5 linked regions of the Nothobranchius furzeri genome follow. Each later gene encodes a partner of the first gene's protein in a complex. Links are inferred from orthologs where the notes say so. Each region holds a gene or a part of one and is shown in the gene's direction. Other genes may lie near its edges. The genes, in order: peripheral plasma membrane protein CASK, dlg1b, lin7c, lin7b and lin7a.

Region 1 (4,160 bases):
ACAGGGTTAGTCACACTATGTGCTAAAATGTAGTTCGATGATAGCATTCTCACATAATTCCCATCCTCCCAGTGAAATATTAGATACGGTGTTGTAGTGGCTCCAGATTGTTAATTGTAATGGACTAATATGACTATGTTTTGTCATAAAACGTTGAGATTTTCCTTCATAGTTTCACACTTTCTTGGTTAAATCTAAATGTCACATGCATGCAGATCCTAGCCCGGCCTCCAGAGGGCGTTTTCAATCAAACTCCACTCTGTCCGCCCACACCTGAGGAAATCCCACCTGTATCTCAGTTAGAAAACCTTTTGCATTAAAATCAGCCATAAACTCCACAGGGCTTAATGCTTTTTTCTTTATTTTTTATGACCATCAAACCAGAAAATGCTTCAGATTTGTTAGAAACAGAAGAAAGAAAATCCACTGAATATAGAAATTGTAACGACACATGTATCGAGCCTATTATTCCTAATTATCAAAATTCTAAATGCATTTATGACTGTTGTAAGGGATACACTGCAGAAGTTACCGATGTCATTCGTGCTCGTGCCTGTGTAACGTGTTTTCATTCACAGCAGGTAATCGGTGTGTAATAAATGAGTTATTAATGACATAAAACATTATTCAAAGCGGAATAAAATGATGGATCTGAGCGGGGAAAGGCTGACGTAAGGTGAGACTTGTCTGCTCGACGCCTGCGCAGGGATCCAGTGGATAGATCCTTTAAAAGAGATTAGTAAGAAACTGCGCCTGAATCCTACCCTCGTCCCACGCCATCTTGGCTCGAGCGTCGCTCCGATTCCAACCCGTGCTTGCGCTCCGTTCGGCGGCCATTTTGGATCTGCTCGGATCCAGTTTCCTGGACGGCGGAGGGAGGAGCCAGGCATTTCTGGAAGTCGGAGAAAACAGGCAGCAGCCAGCAGCATCTGAGCCAGCGTAAGAACTGGAGCAACGGTGGACGAAAGGGTGTGCTGGCTTTACCGAATGACGATATAATTCCATCCTCTTCAAGCACAGAGTGGTATACGCGAGGGCAGAGCGGCCGTGGACATGAAGGTGGAGGTTTTTGATCTGGGCTCGGGAAGCTGAAGCACATACCGCAGCCCCGGACACATTTCGGTTGGGAATAAGCCATCTGTGATACTGGGTGTGCACGTCGCAGTGGCGGTGCTAGACGACCGGTGATCCCGTCGACAGCTAGCTTATTTTTTATTTAAGCTCACCGCCTTTAGCTCGGCCAGCTAGCCTAATCCCGGGCGAAGAGCGCGTCTCGGTCGGGCACTGTAAGCGGATGCTACCGTGGGAGATCCGAACCAGGCAAATTCAACCCGAGGCATGTAAAGAGAGGGGTGTTTCTTCGCCAACGAGCTAATGTGGCTAGCCGGCTAATTCGCTGTCCTCAGTGGCTGCAGTTTCACTCTTTACTGACATTCTCGTGGAGGTTTGAATCGCACAGAGCTCGTGTCGTCGGTCTCAATTAAAGAAGAATAACCAAAACAAATAAAACCCCACACGGTGTCGGTGATTACTTGAAACCCCGAGTGGGAGGGATTTCTTCTGGAGAGCATCCTCGTTTACCTGGATGACCATGGCGGACGACGACGTGCTGTTCGAGGATGTCTACGAGTTGTGCGAGGTGATCGGCAAGTAAGTATGCACAACTGGACTCCACATCCCCACATTTAGCTTCAATCAGCGTAATTTGGTCATGTGCAGGCAGGTTTATGGAGGGGGAAAGTCCAGTGAGTGGGTGAGACGGGTTAGTGTGTGCCATCTTGATGTCCACGGGGGCTTCAAGGCCCAGAGAGGTCCAGGAAAGGAAGTCTGGAGGCACAGCTGGATCAGCAGTCCAGTTCTTTGTCCATTAGACCTGAGAAATGTGGCTGTCATCTTCTGTAGTCTGCTGCGACTTATTTCTTAGGTTAGATTCAATCAGAAATCAAAGGTAAATAATAAAGAAGGGTTGTGTGACAGACTATGTACAAGAGATGTTAAATTCATGCTTTTTATGACATTTGGAGTTTAAAATGTTTGATATTTGCATCAGATTTTCCACAATTTGCAATTAAAGGTGCAGTGATTTGAAGCTTTTCCCCCCCAACATTTTGACAATCCTTTCTCGTGAAGCTTGTAAAAAATCCAGTGATCAGGTCCCCCCCAAGGATTCTTCATATTGTTGGGTGATCAGTTTTGAAAAAAGATTGTCGACTGCACGCCTCACAAATTTAACCAAAATAAAAAAAAATGCACTGAATTCAAAATTATATACCAGCTTTTGGCACTGATCAGGTGGCATATAATACTACAATTACTCGACATTATCGTCCAATACTGACATAAAAATGCTGTTCTCATTCAAAATGTCAAAATATGACAAATGGCCTAGCTTGAATTGAAGTAGTTGTGATATTTTGCACAGATGTTTAAAAAGTTTGGTCATGCACCAATAAGGATCTAAAGTGATTGGACCCCTACAAGTGTATATTGGCACTGGAAATTATGAGTTAGACTAAACTGGTTGATCGGATAATGGTAACAAGTGAAAACTTTAGAAGCCTTTTGGTCTAAACTATCTTATACCAGAGAATCAGAGGCTCTCAGAAGAATAAATAAAAGGAAATGTAAAGTAAATTACACAATGAAGTCAAAATTGCTGTGATTTTTGTGGCTAAAAACTAAAACTAGATTCTAACCAGCACTGGTTAAGACCTACATACACAATACCTTGTGCACATGGATTCTTGCAACCGAACTAAATTGGGTTTTATTCAAAATAACTTTATTTTAGTGCATGACTTGTACATATATTACATTTATTATTAGTAGTATTATTTTACTTGCCATATGTTTAGGCTGCAGCTTTACTTTTACTATTGAAGAAGAGTCATACGTTGTTTTGAGGCGTTTGTTATATGTTGGAGACTCTTTGTGAAAAATTGAAGGAAGTGGAGTTACTTCTGTGGATTCAAGACTTTCTTTTTGTATTCCCTCTTTTAGAGTAGCCTACCTTTACCGTTTTTGAACATCTCGACCTTAATCTTGAAATATTTATTCCTTATCTTTATCTGCTGAGGGGCACTTGTTAGGTTTAACACAGAGACATGAACATTGCTGCACAGTAAAATGCTCCTTTTTTAGGGAGTCCTGGGTGGGATGTAACAGTTAAACACAGTTAGTGTGACTGAAAGACTGTAGTAGGGTAGCTTTTCCTGTTGATGCTACCCAAAGCACTTCTGGGGTATTTCTAGTAACCAATAAAAAGCACATAAAGTGGAGTCAACCCCAGGAGCCAGGTAGCAATCTGAAACCAGTAAACACAATATGGCGGCCACGCCCTCTGGTATTTGAACCAAGTACCGGGATGAACAGCAGTTTGTCTCTCATTGACTCAGACACGGTTCTGGCCTTGTTAAAGGTGTGGTTCACTAAAAAACATTAATTATTATTTCTGATTATAATCAGTCACTGAGATTTTCATGCAGGCTGAACATGAAAATAGTCTCCTACACCTATGTCCTGCATTAGCTTCTGATCGAAAATAGACGGTGAAACTCTAGGATTAGAAAGCCCTGACATCTACGTCACACTGTCACTTATCGTTCACGGACTCCCCCATCTCGACTCACGACGGAGAAGGCTGTTGTTGGTTTAGCGTCCAGGAAACAGCAGAGAACGTCTCTGCTAGTAGAAGCTAACCTTTAGCATTAGCAACTCCACCACACGCCAGAACTCCTTCATACTTGTGTTCTTTGTGGAGGCAACACATCAGCATAGCAGAAGAAATGGAGTGAGTGGTAGAATCACATTGCTGTTAGCCAGTCAGAGGCAAGGAATCCAGAATAAGGAAGTAAGAGTCCAATCCTGTCATCTGAAGCTCTGCTCTGATGTGGCATTTTCTAGTTTCTCAAACAGACGCACCAGATCTTTTTTCCCCAGAGTACGACTTCCAAGGCATTCGATCCTACTAGAGACCACTGCAAATGTTTTGATTAAACGAATGATCCACACCTTTAATAAGTAAGTTTATTTGTCACTGAACAAAGAGTGAAACAAAGTCATAAGCAGCAACACTGTTGGGTTATGCTAAAAAATAAAAAACAATAATAGAAGGAAATATAAACACATATTCCAAAAACGTTAAGAACTTCGAGTCCGTT
Region 2 (3,512 bases), on another chromosome or scaffold:
CCCAGCAGCCAGTCCTTTGTGTCGTTTTAACGGTTTTTCATTCAGACTAAAAGCGAACCGTTAGTGAGAGATTCTGATGTTTTCTGGGTTCTGGAGTCGGTTCTGATCTGGTGGGAGTTGAACCGCCTGTCTGAAGCCCGTTGACTTGTAGGCGGAGTGTTTTCCACGTGGATCCGTGTCTCTGGTGCTGCCGGGTTAGGACAAATCTCGGGCTTTGGACCTTTATTTGGAATTAAAATCATCACACCTGGTTCTGCTCCTCAGATGGGTCTGCTCTGCTAGAACTGGGTCGGGTCTGTGATTATTGAAGGTTCTGGTTCAGATCTTGTCTGAAGATCAACAGGAATGAGTCTGACTCTTTTCTAATAAAATGATCCATTAGAACCGTAGAACCCGTAGGGACGGTTCCGGGCTTGGAGCTCGTGTTGCTTCTGCAGAAACATCTCAGCGTTCCTCGACTCCTCCAACCTCTTCCGATGAAAATCCTCTTCCTCAGGAACTATAAGCGACATGAAACCCGAGTTCTGGTTCTGACCCATAGCTGATGGTCCTCGCGTGTTCCGACGTTCCCTTCATCTGCTCGTTGCTGCTTCTGTTTCCTTGAAAAGTTTTTAGACTTTTTATGATTCCCAGAATAAATCCCTGTGACCTATGACCTTAATCTTGCGACCACCAGATTTGAATCCCGTCGATCCGATCAGGCTGGAGGAATAAAACCGTTCGGAGCGTTTTTCATGTCTGGAATTCTGGGATGGAGGAACCAGAAGGCTGGAGAAGATTCCGTAGCCTAAATGTTTGAGGGTGAAGGAGCGGGTTCTGCTTGGAGCCTGGCTGGAAAACCGAGCCTGGAGCAGCTTTAAAGGCCAGCGGTCTGAGAGGAAACATCTGTGCCTGCTGGCGGTCAGCTCCTGCTTCCATGGTTATTTTAGACGTTCCTTCTCTGGAAGCTCTGAACAGAGTCCAAAAATAAAGAAGGCATCGGTGCTAAAATATCCCCCTGGAAAGACTAATTATCTCCCACAGAAGGGAAGGGAATTACGGGAATCATGGGATTCAAATTCTCCCTGAATTTACCTCCAAAATCCCACAAACAGGAACTTCTGGTTTAAAGATAATTGGCTCATAACGATTTCACTTCCAATTAGGGTTGTCACGGTGTGAAAATTTAACCTCACGGTTATTGTGACCAAAATATCACGGTTTTCCGTATTTTTTTAAACGTGCTACATTTTCAGACAATTAAATAAACCCTGTATATCAGGAAAATATTGTCCTCAGTTTGTGTCAAAATTTTGCCTAAAACGTGTTATTTTGTAATTATGTTGTTTATTTGTTTACATTTTTTCCCTTTAGTCTTTAAAACACCAATATTTGCCCATAACTTCTTATTTTTTGTCTGCTTGATGTCATCATTTTAAAAATATTAGACCAAATGATACTCAGTACTCAAGTAGCCTTCTAATCAGATACTTTTTTACCCTTACTTGAGTAATAAACCCTATATCAGGAAAATATTGTCTTCGGTTTGTGTCCTTCCAGTGAGCTTTGCAGATGTGGGAAAATGTCATCAGGCAGTAATCATTGTTAAATTCATAATTATTCTCGGAGAGAGACCAACTCTTATCTGCCCCTGGGAGCCCCGTAATGCATAGCGTCATTTCAACATGGGGGTGTCCGCAACACGGTTTTTATGCAGGCTGCTTTAGCGACTCGTTGCATTCTCCCTCCACCCAAATCCTCGGATCACACATTTTAGCTAAAACGCTAACGTTAGCTTGCCTTGCGTTGACTGTAGAGTTGTGGGTGATGGTCACGCAGATGTGTCATGAGATATGAGGCGTTGCTGCCTTTCACAGAAACTTTTTCTGCACGTGCTGCAAACAGGATAGCCGTCTTCTATCAAATGTCCCTCGGCATTCTTCAAATATCCCAAAAAAATGCCCACACTTCACACTTTGTCTTCTTTGAGGGATAATAAATGTCCTGAGCGCTGCCGTCTCCTCCTTTGGCCATTATTTCAGCTTTAGCTTCAAGAAAGTTTGGATTTTAAACAACAAAGTGCGCATGTGCCGCCTGCAACTTCAGCAGATGATACAGTGGCTGGTAAGGGTCACCGCGCCTACACCACAGCCACGGTAATCCACCGAGATAATATTTTTTTTTTAAAACAAGACGGTTATTATTATTGTCAATTTTTTTATTGGGGTTTACCGCTACACCGGTTACCGTGACAACCCTACTTCCAAGCAAATGAATCAACTTTGAATGGTTAAATTTAAGTGAATAGAAACAATTTTATTCTTAAAGCACTACAGGAAGTAGAAACCGTTGCTGTAGAGTCTAAATCTGAAGTTTCAGATGAATATGTTCAGATTCCCTCATCCCAATCCCGATTAATGTGTTTGAGTTCCCAGCAGCTGCTTTTATTCCTAAATAATTCCCGTTCTGATAATGTAATCCTCTGGTTCCCATCATCTGGGTCGGTACGGGTCGGGTCAGCAGAGAAAAGAGATGCTGCTTTTTCTTTTTTAATCTTTATGAAATGTTGATCAGGAGCTGAAGAAGACTCCTGTGGTTCTGGTGCTGACCCAGTTCTGAGGTCTTGTATGTGCAGTATGTGAATCGGTACCGGTCCAGTTCTGATCAGATTAGTTATCAGTAGTGATGTCCCAATACAACTTTTCACTTCCGACACAACACCGATATGGCAACCTTCAGTACTGACCGATACCAGCAGGAATGCCACAGTGATTTTACTCATTCGGAGAACAAGAGCCGATTACAGTAAGTATGAAAAAAGTGACACTTTTTTCTTTACCTTTGTTGCAATAACTGTATTTATATGGGAGGTTTTGATGCCGCCCGATATAATCTGATTGTTTTTGGGCCGATATCGATATCAGAACGGGACTTCCCTAATCATCAGGTTTATGGATTCCAGACGAGTTTCTGCAGCTTTCAAACTTTTAGTTTATGGTCTGATTAAAGCATGTCCCTGTCCCTGTCCCATGCTCTGTCCTCCCAGATATCCAGGAATTTTACGAAGTGACCTTATTGGACAGTCAGAGATGGGCGGAGTCTTCCAAGGGGGCGGACCCCATGGCGCCTGTCCACCTGTGGGACTTCCCGAGTCTTCAGAGCACAACGGTGACCTCGGAGACTCTGCCCAGCCTTAGCACCAGCATCGAGGTAAGATGACGAAGAAGAAGAAAGAGCTTTTCTATAGCGCCTCTCAAGATAAAAGTCACGAGGCGCTTAAAGGCGTAAGAACAGATCGGTCCTGCTGGAACTGGTCGGAACATTCTGGACTCAGGCGTGTTTCTCTCATGTCCCGGTTCTGAAGGTCCAGTAGATGCACAAAGAGTTAAAGTAGAAATGGATAAAACTAGAATTTTAGATAAAGCAGAACTGAAGCTGCTCTAACAGAACCGACTCCCAAGTTCTCCTGTGAGGTCCTCAGGATCTGATCGGACAGGAGAAATGGGTCGGTACCGGTGGTTCAGACAGAAACA
Region 3 (4,183 bases), on another chromosome or scaffold:
TTTCCGGAGAAACACTTCATTTTACTTCCTCCTCTCCAACCTGAAGGTAAGTGCGACTAACGAGGACGCTGCAACTTTCTGAGATCTGCCGAACGAAGAAAAATAAACTCTGCCTTGATGGACCCACCAGTGACAGCAGTTGGAATTCTGTGAGGTATCTTTGTTTTGCTTTGTTTGAAGCACAATTTAAACTACTTAGACTCAAAGAGAGACGACAAGCATGCAGTAGATCCTTAAATGTGCTGCTGTCGTAAACATCAAACAACGGGCTTCTTTTCAAGGCCACAATGCAGCTGCAGGAAAAAAAACTGCCCTGCTCTTCAAAGAAATTCCACCTTAAGTTGGAGTTGAAGCCGTTTTGCCCTAGTCAAGTACTAACGTATCCTCTGCATAAAAAAATACAATGAATCAAACAGGGAAGCTTGCTCCATAAAGTATGTGCTCCAGTTTCTCTGAACAGAGACCTTGGGCCATTTTCGTTGCACTCTGCAAGCAAGAAGACGTCTAATTATAGATTTAATGTGAGCATCAAAAGAGCTTAGAGACAATACATGAATACTGTGGCATTTATTTGACCCAGGTTTGTCCCTGATGAATGAAAACAAGCAAATCAGAGCATCTGTTGTCCAATAAAGGAAATTACTGATGCAGCACAGTGTTGGAGATCCAGTCGTACGTCACAGCAGGGTTCCGTTTTTCACCACCAGCTTTTCAAGGTAAATTGTTTGTGTTTCATCACCAGCTGGGGTGGGGTCAGAAATGAATCATCCTGCAAAGTTTCAGCCCACAGAGAGCAGCTGTTTTCTGCTGATTTATGAACCAGAGCCTCTAGAAGAGCTGCAGCAAACCAGAGGAGGGCACTAAAGAGGCTGCTCCTCCCATCAGCTTTCCTGGATACCATCCAGAACATTCATTCAAGCTTCCTAACAAGGTTCCTGGTGTCCAGACACTGACAGGGTGCAATCTGATGAAGACTGGAAAAACTGAGTTTGATGAGCTGAAATTATTATTTGCTATTAAGAAAGTGAAAAATATCAATAAAAATGTTGCTTTGGTTACTCATCATCATCTCATTCATATTTCTATAAAGCTAAATCAAACCTAGAAACCTAATCTTGAACTAAAAGTATTCAGAATGACACTAAACTTCTAAAATGAAGTTTTCTGTTCCAGATTTAGTTACAGAAGTAACTGCTACAAAATTTGTGATTTTGTTGCTGCGTCTGATCTCTTAAAATTTCACATCAATACAAATAAACAAGATAAGAAATACGCAGAATTCAATCTGTCATTTATAATTACCTAAAAATGTCAACAGAATGCTTTGTCCACCGAGTAATCAGCTTTACTAGGGTCCCTGAACGCACCATGACACTGGCAGCTAGCCTAGCCGAGCTAACTTAGCTAATCTGATTTATCGTGCCAGTTAAGCGTACGAAACGGTCGGCTGGATTTACGAATTTAGTTTTTTTTTTTTTTTTTTTGTATATTTCTTGTATCGCAGTATCTATTTAATACCAGATAGCCTCTCATTTCGAGAATGGCATCTCTGGGGGAACCTGTGCGACTGGAAAGAGGTAATGTTAATTAGCTAGCTAGCTTTATTTGTTGTGAACGAGAGACGTTTACCCAGTTTAGCTCTAGTTGTTTGAATCAAACTGGGAGTTGTTTTTTGGTACATATTTTGACATTTGCTTGTCATAAATGTATATATCTGATATTGCCCGTAGAGCTGCGTTTTACTTGACCAAGCTAAACGAAGCATACCTTAGCGGTATTTGTTTAATTCGCTCACTAGCTAAGTAGCTAATAACAGCAGCGATTGACCAGCCCAGTCAGTATGTTGGGAAATAAATGCGAGGTATAATATTGTCATTAAAGCAGTAAAGGCACGTTTTGCTTCTCAGAAATTACACGTCGAACATGACGCAAATTGCATTTGTTAAAGTGAAATAAGCTGTAATTGTCACATCTGTGTAAAAACAAGTGAAAGTATCAGTCCGACTTTCATTGTGAGCCAGCTCTGGTCACAAACATCAAAGAAAAACTAAGAAATCTTTAATCGGAGCTTGTTTACTGAGTGCTTTTTGAAATCGATTTTAAATATATTTCTGAATTGAACTGGGAGCTCATGAAGAGATATTTGTAATGCAAACTTTATTTCTGCCAGTATCCTGCTACATATCTTAATTTTTTGATATTTTGAAAAATTGCAGGTTGTTTTTAATCACTTAGAAACCGTTGAAAGTAGGTGATGTGTATTTTAGCCTTAAATGTACTCGTCTCTAGTGGCTTTAAAAGTGTTCAAATGATCAAATCTGTTGTGGGAACTCGTTTCTCTTCCATTTATGCCGATTATCACTTGTTAGTCGCTTTGGACAAAAGCGTCTGCTAAATACATAAACAAACATTTAGTTAATAAATGTCAGGAATCTGATCATTTAACATCGGTCTGTGCCGCTCAATCGAGATGACTTTAAATGTGCATTATGTAGAAATTAAGTAAAAATGACATCCTTTGGTAAAATTTGGTTACGTCAACCACATTAAAAAACTCTGGAGCTTTTTGCCGGCCGTCGTCAAATTACAGTTGTCTGCGCTGCAGTGTTAGCTCGCAGGAGACACGACAACCCAACTCACTGATGGTAAACAATAACTATGTCCCTCCTTCCTTTGTTTTGAAAAAAGAAAAAAACTGATAATCCCTGCAGCCAGCTGGAAATGAAATATGTTTCAGTAGAACTTTCCTCGCAAAATGACCAAAACATGACTCATTTGGGATTTTCTCGCTGTAAAATTCTCACTATATTTCCACATACTGCACCTTTAATAATACATAATGAGTGTGATTGATAAACAAGTTTTGGCCTTCCTGTGCAGTAGGGGGTGCTGTTTATATTTTACAGTCATTTATTTCACATGTAATTTTTTACTGGTTGATATAAAAACCCTCTGAACTATTTAAAATTTTCTTAAAAATTTTTACCCAGCAGATGTTCTCTTTTTTTATTTTTCAACACCATTCAGGATTTTGAATCTGCTTCATTTCACTTATGCAGATCACTTCTTTCAGAACAAACCCAATGGAAGTCTTAGAATATTTAAAGACATGTCCAGTAAAAGACAAGAATATAAATCAAATAGTCCTTTTACGTAGATTTATCGAGCACCTTTTCTGCTTTTACTTTTAAGACTTGAGTGCTGGCATCAATACAGGCAAATTTAATGCTCATTTTAATCTTTTATAGTGGTTTGTTTTGGACTGTGTGTAAGCTGTGATGGCATTATGCTCTCTTTGATAGATATCAATCGTGCAATTGAGCTGCTTGATAAGCTGCAGAGAACAGGGGAAGTGCCTCCGCAGAAGCTGCAGGCGCTGCAGCGAGTCCTACAGAGTGAATTCTGTAACGCTGTCAGAGAGGTGAGACTCTTCATTCCAACTCTAAACTCCACAGATTTTTCTTCCTCCTTGTTATAAAGTTCTGTTCGTTTGGTGCTTTTTCCCCCTCAGGTTTATGAGCATGTGTATGAAACGGTAGACATCAACAGCAGTCCTGAGGTCAGAGCCAACGCCACAGCTAAAGTAAAGCTCATACACAAGAAATCTCCTCCGTCTCAAAACTACTTTATGCATCAATTGTTGTACATTTTTAAAGAGTTTGTTTTATTTTCAAAGGCTACTGTGGCAGCTTTTGCAGCAAGTGAAGGACACTCCCATCCTCGTGTTGTGGAACTGCCCAAGACAGAAGAAGGTCTGGGTTTCAATATAATGGGCGGAAAGGAGCAAAACTCGCCTATTTACATCTCGCGGATCATCCCAGGAGGCATCGCTGACCGACATGGAGGCCTGAAAAGAGGCGACCAGCTTCTCTCTGTTAATGGGGTGGTACGTGCAGCTCAGAGAATCATTATTAGGTCAAGAATTGTAAATTTGAATCTTAATATGAAGCACGTATCAGGTTTTAGAGCATGTTGCTTTTTTGGGGAGGGATAATCCATGCATCTTCAGAAATTTCTGCATACAGAAAAGCCCAAACGACTGACTTTTAGTGTTAGAAGTTTTTTTAATATTCTGGTTTTTAAAGGGCTACGTGTTCATAATCCTGTGATCACTCATAAGCAGGTATAAAGTCTGAGTCCGATTACATCTCCATTAGTTAGCTTGATGAGGAGGACGAGGAAG
Region 4 (4,122 bases), on another chromosome or scaffold:
CTGAGGGAACTGAGCGCATGTTGGAGGAAAATGAAGGGGAGGTGGCTGAGGCCACAGAGGAGCGCAAAGAGAGGGACAGGGACAGAGACCGAGACCGAGACAGGAGGCGCAGTCACAGGGACAGAGACCGGCGGAGGGAACGAGACAGAGATAGGGAACACAAGCGGGAGCGTGGGGACAGAGACAGGGGGGAGCGGAGGGAGGAGCGCCACGGGTCCAATCGAGAAGACATGGGTCCTCAAGAGGACATGGGTAATGAGGAGGACAGCGCTCCGCCAAACATGGAGGAATACAGTCAGGATGGAATGATGGAGCAGCAGTCTGCACCGTCAGCTGATGACTATGGATCTGGCGAAAACGGATACAAGATGGAGGCACCAGATGAGTACTAAGCATGAGGTCCCCATCCCACAGGAAGTCCCCCTAAACAAGCCCTCCACTTCCTGTCCCAGGCCTCCAGAACCTCCTAAGGATCCAAACATTTAGTTAGCTTTCCTTTTTCCGCTCGTATGGCAACCATGTTGAGGTCCGCTGATCGCCCTGCTCGTCGGGGGTGGAGCTTAAAGCCGGAGCCAGGTGTGTTTAGAGGTGTTAGAAGCAGACGTGTTGTGGTGGAGCAGCTGAGCCTGTTTTGGTTTTTCATCTTTTTTTTATATCTGCAGGTCATTTTAATAAAGATGTCTTGATTGTGACAGTGGTGATTATTTTAGTACACAGCCTTTTGCCTGAGGTGCTGGTGCAACACACACACACTTTAATCCCTAAACGTTTTCTGAACGTCCTGCTGACCAGGACGACGTTCTGACTCATATTTTTATAAAACACGTTCTCAGTCCTGGTCCTGGAGACCCGGTTTCCAGCATGTTTTAGACCTTTCCCTGCCTTTAATCCACAGAGCTTCGTGTGCTGCCGAACAGGTGTTTGAGCAGAGGAACCAAAACCTGCCGGATACCGGTCCTCCAGAACCAGGATGGAGAACCCACTGTTCAGTTTCTACTGAGTCGAGGTTCTAGTTTTATTTTGACCCAGACCGTAGAGGTTCTGAAGTGGTTTCATCGCCAGAACTACAGATGTGGGTCCTGCGGGGCTGACTGCTGGTCCCGGTTCTGTACTTGCAGCCTCACGTCGGATTAAGTTATCTGCTGCTGATTATTTTATTCTCGGGTTTGGGTTCAGGTTCTGACGTGGACCTGGCCCGTAACGTTTCCTGTTCTAGTTTTAGAGTTCAGGTTTACCCCACCGGTTCCGTCCAGCTGAACGGTCTGGACTGTCTCACCTACGAGGTTGTGATGAGAACCTCCCCAGTGGTTCGGTCCAGAACAGCTCTGACCCGGAGGGGGCTGCTGCTGCTGCGCTTCTCTCAGCCTCTCGGAACCAGCCCGGTCTCATCATGCCCTCATCAGAGCAGCTGTGAGACTCCTGGACCAGAACCTGCCGTGACCATCAGACAAGGACCTCAGGATGATGTCCTCCTACCACCCTAAGGAAGCCGACATGTCGGCTACGACCGAACCGCTCTGCCTGGAAAGAGGTAGGTTTCGGGTCTGCAGCAGAACTGGGTCGGGTTTGCATCCCGGATCCAGAGACTAAACATGTACTGATGTCAAATGTGAGCCGCTCTGGAGCTTCCTGCTTCACGCGGTTCTGTTCGGACTCGGGAGCCTAGCACAGACGGGTTGGGCCTGTCCAGGTTCCGTTTTCAGCTGCATGTTTAATGTCTGAGCGGTTCCGGTAGCCTGTCGGAACCGGACCGGCTCTATATAGCCACCTGCAAAGATGGACCATTATGATCCGGACCGGTACCAACTAGCTTGTTCCGAACCGAGACGTCTCAGGTGTGAGTGGGTAAATATTAGCTCAGTAGTAAAAATGTTACATTTATGTCACGTGACCCTTTCCTAAAGCCATATTTTCATGAGGCTTTTAATTTGAAACTCAGGTTCTGACCGCCGCACAACTGACCTTCTGGGTTGGTTCTGATCATCAGTGTTGGAGCTGACCGGATGTTGGCCTCTCAGGACCAGGACTGGTTTAGGGTCAGCCAGACCAGCCCTGGGTCACCGACTCAGTTTGGTAGTCTAAAAACCCAACAGAACCAAACCTACATATGAGTTTAGTTCAGCAGAACCTAGCTGTGGGTTCCAAAGGGATTGAGACGTTCAGCTGAACCGGGTCCTTGTCGACTTTGGGTTTCTATGAAGTATATCCAGTCCCTCTATGGTTCTGGAGCACTCAGCTCTCCCTGCAGAGATCCAGAGCACAGATCTGACTGCTGTGGTTCTGGTCCAGAGGCACAGCCATGGACCGAGCCAGCATCAAGGCGTAGCCCTGCTCAGCAGAAAGCTGTGTGTCCATGTGGTTCTGTTGGTTGGTGATGGATGGTGCTGGTCATGCTCTTTCAGATCCAGACTGACCATTGGGTGATGGCTAACCGTCTACAGAACCAGAATATCTGAAGAAGGTGGACGGCTACATCACTCCGGACCCAGCAGGAGTAATGGGTGGGGGCTACGGGTGAAGCCCGGTGTAACCCAGGTTTGTCTTTTAGATGTGTGCCGGGTGATCGAGCTGCTGGACCGGCTGCAGCGGACCGGGGAGCTGCCCCCTCCCAAGCTGCAAGCCCTGCAGAGAGTCCTCCAGAGCAAATTCTGCGCCGCCATCAGGGAGGTACGTTACAGGCAGGGGCGTGTCCAGGGAGTGGCCTGGGGTGGCACATGCCACCCTTGGAATCTGATTGGCCACCCCAGGTGCCAACACACTAATTTCTTTAAATAGGCTTTTCATTGTCCACAAAAGGCTTGGGGGTAAAACAAAAAAAGCATAACCATTGGTGCCACCCATGCGCCTCACCTGGGCCACCCCATTTTAAAAGATCTGGACACACCACTGGTTACAGGAAGTGTGTTACAGCCTTTTGTTGTCCGATTTCCGTCAAATCAAGCTGTTCCATCTACAGGCACAGCTCCAACGTTAGAACATCATGAGGTGAGTGGGACCCGTTTGATTCGTAGATGCATCACTCGGAGTGGGATGCTTTTGGTTCTGGCTACAGATGAGGAAAAGACTAATTCTGTCAGAAAGTTAGAATATTGTGAAACTATAGAAACTCCAGGTGACACACCCTACTCAGCTGATGAACTCAGAGTGGGTCATGACGGCTGACTGGACACGTCCACCAGGAGGGCGGTCACAGGTCTTGAAGGATCTGAGGTTTCTCAGCCGTTCCTGTGCTTCCTCCATGAATCGTTGTGTTTAATCACAAACCTTCAGACTGAATCCTGTAAACACAGCTTAGACCTGATGTGACACCTGTTGTCTGTTCTGTTGACCTCCAGGTGTACGAGCAGCTGTACGACACTCTAGACATAGTTGGAGGACCAGAGGTGCGAGCACAAGCAACAGCCAAGGTACTAGAACCTAAGTCCTGGACCCGAGTCCAGATGCAGTCGGCTCTAGTGTGATGACACCTCCAGTTTCCGACAGGAGCTCTTCCTGCTCAGAAGCAGCTTTACCTTGTGAAGTGCCTCTTGTCCCGGTTTGGCGCTACATAAATAAACTGAACTGAAGTGTGAGAACCTCCATCAGAATGCTGCGAGAACTAAGATGTTCTGCAACCATCGATCCGGTTCTGGCACTTTGCTGATCATTGGAGGTTCTTGTTGTTTCAGGCCACCGTGGCAGCCTTTGCAGCCAGCGAGGGTCACGCCCACCCCAGGGTGGTGGAGCTCCCCAAGACTGAAGAGGGGCTGGGCTTTAACATCATGGGGGGGAAAGAGCAGAACTCCCCGATCTACATCTCCAGAGTTATTCCTGGAGGAGTAGCCGATCGCCAAGGAGGGCTGAAGAGAGGAGACCAGCTGCTGTCTGTCAACGGAGTGGTAAGAAGCTCCGGTTCCTTGTGAGGAGGTTCTGCTCCCTAGAAGGTTCAGATAAAAAACAGCATGCCTCCCAGTTTCCTGATGTTTTAGAGGCCGTGTGGGCAGCATGTGGTTCAGATTCATGAGTGATCGTGTTGTTCACTAGCTGTGTGCTTGTGACCATGCAGAGCGTTGAGGCGGAGCAACACGAGAAGGCTGTGGAGCTGCTGAAAGCCGCACAGGGTTCGGTCAAGTTGGTGGTCCG
Region 5 (3,512 bases), on another chromosome or scaffold:
GGTAGTTCAGTGGTTAGAGTAACTGACAGACTGGCATGCTGTTTTTTAGTTTGACTCCCGGTTGCAACAGTAACTTTTTTCTTCTCCTTTAGCCGCACTTGCCAGTATTGTGTTTTTAACCCTTTATTGGTAAACAATTCAAATTATACGTTTTTTTTTCTCCCCCTTTCTTTGTTTATTTAGCCAGTGTGACTCCATGTTAGGTCAGTAGAGTAAATCAATAAAATGCTGCTTGGAAACGACCAAATTCAAAGATCTTAACAAACACAAAATAATTTACAGAAAAGAATCAATAAAAGTAAAATATGAAAACATGAACTCAGCTTCAGCTGGCTACATAAATTACTGCCGACACTGGGAGTTGAACTGGCATCGGGACACGGAAAAACAACACGAAAGGCAGATGCTTTAGATTATCAAACACAATACAGCAACTGGCTTGCCTGCGATGCTGTTGTAGGCATGTTTTGTCTGAGCGGATGTGGGCGGAGCTTCACTGAATCAAATCATTTCATTTCCTGGTATAAATTCAGGCTGAAAAAAGTAACTCATGTTTAAAATAAAATGACATCTCAATGGTGCCAATGGTAATATTTTATATAATGCAATCTGGCTCCTTTAATATAATTATTGGATGTGCATTTACAACTTCTGGAGTCAGTGTGATCCAGTCAAGAAGTGTAAAAGTTGTACAAACTCGATCGGTTTTACAGATTTTGAGCTAAAATCTGGTGTTCTAATAGTAAATAAGTAAATTTTATTTCTACAGCACTCATCACAGACATAGAATCACAAAGTGCTTCACATGGATCAAAACAAAAGAAAACAAAGTCACAAAATCATAAACAGATTAACATCATAACATCAAAATGCTCTCAAAACAGAATCAGATTAACGTCAGAAAAAATAAAGTCACAAAATTATAAATTTTTCATAAACGGATGAAAGATGAAAATTTTGAGTTAAAAATAAGAAAATAAAAGGTTTAGTCAAAAGCAGCTTTAAATAAAATGGTCTTTAGCTGTTTTTTTAAAAGTGTCCAGACTGTCAGTGCTGTGTAAGGATAAAGGAAGATCATTCCAGAGTCGGGGTGCAACAGTCTGGAAGGAGCGATCACCTCGACTTCTATATCTTGTCATGTCTGCGTCTGTGACTTCCCCATGTGTCTCCTTATGTCCTCCATCCCTCTTTAGATTCCCCTTTTGTTGTCCTCTGGCACCCTCATGTGTCTTTTGTCTGCGTCCGTTATGTGTCTTATGTTGGTAGTCCTTTAAGTCTATTCCTCCCAGGTCTTGGTCTCATTTACATTCTGTGTCCTTGTAGTCCCCAGCTTCTTTGTCCCCAGCTCTGTGTGTGTAGTTCTGATGGTGTGTGTGTGTGTTAGTCCTTCCCGCAGCCTCTTGGTTTAGTTTTGTGTTTTAGGTTATTTGGCCCTCCTCTGTTTCTGTTTGCCCATGTTGGTTATTAGATTCACCTGTCTTCCCTCCAGCCCTCACTTCACACACCTGCCGCCATTTTCCCTAATCACCTCCCTGTGTATATAAGCTCTGTCTTGTCTGTGTCTGGTGTCGGTTCATTGTTGTATATATATATATATATATATATATATATATATATATATATATATATATATATATATATATATATATATATATATATAGATTCTGTCTGTGTTTGCTCGTGCTCTTGGTTAGCTTTATTTCTCCAGCCTTGGAGTTTTTGGACTTTAACTCGCTGCCTGGATTTATTGTGTTCACCCTTCCAAAAATAAAGGATTTTACTTTAATCATCTCCTGCCTCGTGTCATCCTGGGTTTCTGCAATTTGGGTTCTACCATCCCTCCAAAACGTGACATATCTGGTCTCTGGAACTTCTAGAAGGTTCTGGTGTGTGGACCTGAGGGCTCGGGTTGGAACATAAGGCTTTAACAGTTCAGTAACATAGGGAGGAGCCTGACCTTGTAGAGCATTGAAAGTTCTAGTCAGAACTCTAAAATGAACTCTAAAGTTAACGGGTAACCAGTGCAGAGACATCAGAATAGGAGTGATGTGTGCTCTTCTGTTTGCTCCAGTTAGGAGCCTCGCTGCAGAGTTCTGGACCAACTGAAGGCGGTCAAGGTTTTTTTTGTTAAAACATGTGAAAAGTGTGTTACAGTAATCTAGACGGGAGGAGTGTGGATGACCATTTAAAGTTCATGTTTTGACTCTAATAGCTAAGAGTCATCATCAACACATGCAATACTACAATCATGGGACTGTTTACAATGTTCTTATAAAAATATGAAACGTTGGTGTTTAAGACTCATGGGGAGATTCATTCAAGGTGTGCTAGACTTTTAAATAATAACGTAATGATCAAATATTGCAGTTTTTTACTCAGCTAAAAAAAAATCCCATGACTTATGTGTCTGTAAATGGAAAATATTGTGTCTTGTAGGGTATTGCAGGGAATCAGAATATGTCCCCAACTCAAAGTCACATAAAAACTAAGTTCACCTTGAACTCATAAAAGTTTGTATTTACGGCTCAGATCTGTAGGAATAATACAGAGCAGAAAACTATTTAAGTTGCAGCAGCTTCGCCTTCTTTGTAGTAGTTTCAGGAAAATATTTGCTTAAATCCTGGACCCCCCCCCCCCCCCCCCCCCCCCCCGTTTCTATGTGCCGACTGAAGTCGATGCAAATGATTCCAGGATTGCATTCCCACTCCATCATCCCTGCAGCTGCTGGCCTTGAATAAGTCTATTTCCATTAAAGCACCCATTGATTTGCGCTAGCGCCTTTGTCATTGCCGTGCTGTTAATGTAATTGAATTTTTTTCTCCCGCATGCACATTCACTCATACCAATGGTCTCTCTCCCTCCCTCCTCCTGCCAGATGTTGCGCGGGCTATCGAGCTGCTGGAGAAGCTGCAGGAGTCGGGGGAAGTTCCTGGGCACAAGCTGCAGTCCCTGAAGAAGGTGCTGCAGAGCGAGTTCTGCACAGCAATCAGAGAGGTGAGTCAGATGAGTCCTCCTCGTCCGTGACCTTTCTACACCAACCCTTCATCCTGCAAGTCTTATCATCTCTCTGCTCCCACGCAGTCACTGTGCCCCAGGTTGTGATGATTTTTTTCTCAGTCACCCTGTCGAAGTACTTTATCATCTCTGTGTTTTTGTTGCAGTCAAGAAATGGAAACAGTTGTAAAAAGTTTTCATGGTTCTATCAAAAAGACAAATATTACATCTTGCAGCTTAAATGCAAAGCTGCGGTGGAATGCACATCGTCATCTTCCTCCTCTTATCCGGGTCCGGGTCGCGGGGGCAGCATCCCAACTAGGGAGCTCCAGACCGTCCTCTCCCCGGCCACCTCCACCAGCTCCTCCGGCAGGACCCCAAGGCGTTCCCGGACCAGATTGGAGACGTAACCTCTCCAACGTGTCCTGGGTCGACCCGGGGGCCTCCTGCCGGCAGGACATGCCCGAAACACCTCCCCAGGGAGGCGTCCAGGAGGCATCCTGTCCAGATGCCCAAAC

The links.
Region 2: the proteins of peripheral plasma membrane protein CASK (region 1) and dlg1b are in contact, whole or in part, in an NMR structure (PDB 1RSO), measured with the Rattus norvegicus proteins. The link is inferred for Nothobranchius furzeri from reciprocal best matches to the Homo sapiens genes CASK and DLG1. Residues at the interface, in XP_038955489.1 of Rattus norvegicus: Gly339, Ala342, Ala343, Arg345, Ala346, Val347, Gln349, Val350, Ser353, Leu354, Glu356, Ile357, Leu360, Thr361, Asp367, Leu368, Phe370, Leu371, Ser373, Val374, Phe375, Asp377, His379, Leu380, Thr382, Leu383, Leu384, Asp385, Leu386, Tyr387; in NP_036920.2 of Rattus norvegicus: Arg4, Asp7, Thr8, Arg10, Ala11, Leu12, Leu14, Leu15, Tyr18, Lys21, Leu22, Glu26, Asp27, Leu30, Ser33, Ile34, Arg36, Val37, Ser39, Ile40, Phe41, Ser43, Leu45, Phe46, Leu49, Ile50, Gln53, Glu57, Val58, Leu60.
Region 3: peripheral plasma membrane protein CASK (region 1) and lin7c share a complex: the UniProt entries of both Homo sapiens proteins name them as parts of the brain-specific heterotrimeric complex. The link is inferred for Nothobranchius furzeri from reciprocal best matches to the Homo sapiens genes CASK and LIN7C.
Region 4: the proteins of peripheral plasma membrane protein CASK (region 1) and lin7b are in contact, whole or in part, in an NMR structure (PDB 1Y74), measured with the Mus musculus proteins. The link is inferred for Nothobranchius furzeri from reciprocal best matches to the Homo sapiens genes CASK and LIN7B. Residues at the interface, in NP_001271432.1 of Mus musculus: Ala405, Arg408, Ala409, Glu411, Val412, Glu415, Ile416, Tyr419, Glu421, Asn422, Asp424, Ala425, Glu427, Leu428, Ile431, Leu432, Gln434, Phe437, Ala439, Leu440, Leu441, Thr443, His444, Val447, Ala448; in NP_035828.1 of Mus musculus: Leu10, Asp13, Val14, Arg16, Ala17, Leu20, Leu21, Arg23, Leu24, Ser27, Glu29, Leu30, Pro31, Pro32, Lys34, Leu35, Ala37, Leu38, Val41, Leu42, Ser44, Phe46, Cys47, Ile50, Arg51, Tyr54.
Region 5: peripheral plasma membrane protein CASK (region 1) and lin7a share a complex: the UniProt entries of both Homo sapiens proteins name them as parts of the brain-specific heterotrimeric complex. The link is inferred for Nothobranchius furzeri from reciprocal best matches to the Homo sapiens genes CASK and LIN7A.

What each region holds. Positions count from the first base shown.
Region 1 is NC_091754.1:50,548,329-50,552,488, forward strand, and holds the start of peripheral plasma membrane protein CASK, read left to right. Parts: upstream 1-1,353; 5' UTR 1,354-1,585; coding exon 1,586-1,650; intron 1,651-4,160. UniProt on the Homo sapiens protein: Multidomain scaffolding Mg(2+)-independent protein kinase that catalyzes the phosphotransfer from ATP to proteins such as NRXN1, and plays a role in synaptic transmembrane protein anchoring and ion channel trafficking.
Region 2 is NC_091751.1:34,938,298-34,941,809, reverse strand, and holds part of dlg1b (disks large homolog 1), read left to right. Parts: intron 1-3,025; coding exon 3,026-3,189; intron 3,190-3,512. UniProt on the Homo sapiens protein: Essential multidomain scaffolding protein required for normal development. Recruits channels, receptors and signaling molecules to discrete plasma membrane domains in polarized cells.
Region 3 is NC_091749.1:64,462,143-64,466,325, forward strand, and holds the start of lin7c (protein lin-7 homolog C), read left to right. Parts: upstream 1-1,380; 5' UTR 1,381-1,540; coding exon 1,541-1,577; intron 1,578-3,302; coding exon 3,303-3,421; intron 3,422-3,511; coding exon 3,512-3,583; intron 3,584-3,676; coding exon 3,677-3,886; intron 3,887-4,183. UniProt on the Homo sapiens protein: Plays a role in establishing and maintaining the asymmetric distribution of channels and receptors at the plasma membrane of polarized cells.
Region 4 is NC_091758.1:13,884,080-13,888,201, forward strand, and holds the start of lin7b (protein lin-7 homolog B), read left to right. Parts: upstream 1-1,317; 5' UTR 1,318-1,461; coding exon 1,462-1,531; intron 1,532-2,548; coding exon 2,549-2,667; intron 2,668-3,335; coding exon 3,336-3,407; intron 3,408-3,668; coding exon 3,669-3,878; intron 3,879-4,045; coding exon 4,046-4,122. Other genes in the region: snrnp70 (U1 small nuclear ribonucleoprotein 70 kDa), read left to right, coding at 1-392. UniProt on the Homo sapiens protein: Plays a role in establishing and maintaining the asymmetric distribution of channels and receptors at the plasma membrane of polarized cells.
Region 5 is NC_091741.1:40,999,053-41,002,564, reverse strand, and holds part of lin7a (protein lin-7 homolog A), read left to right. Parts: intron 1-2,875; coding exon 2,876-2,994; intron 2,995-3,512. UniProt on the Homo sapiens protein: Plays a role in establishing and maintaining the asymmetric distribution of channels and receptors at the plasma membrane of polarized cells.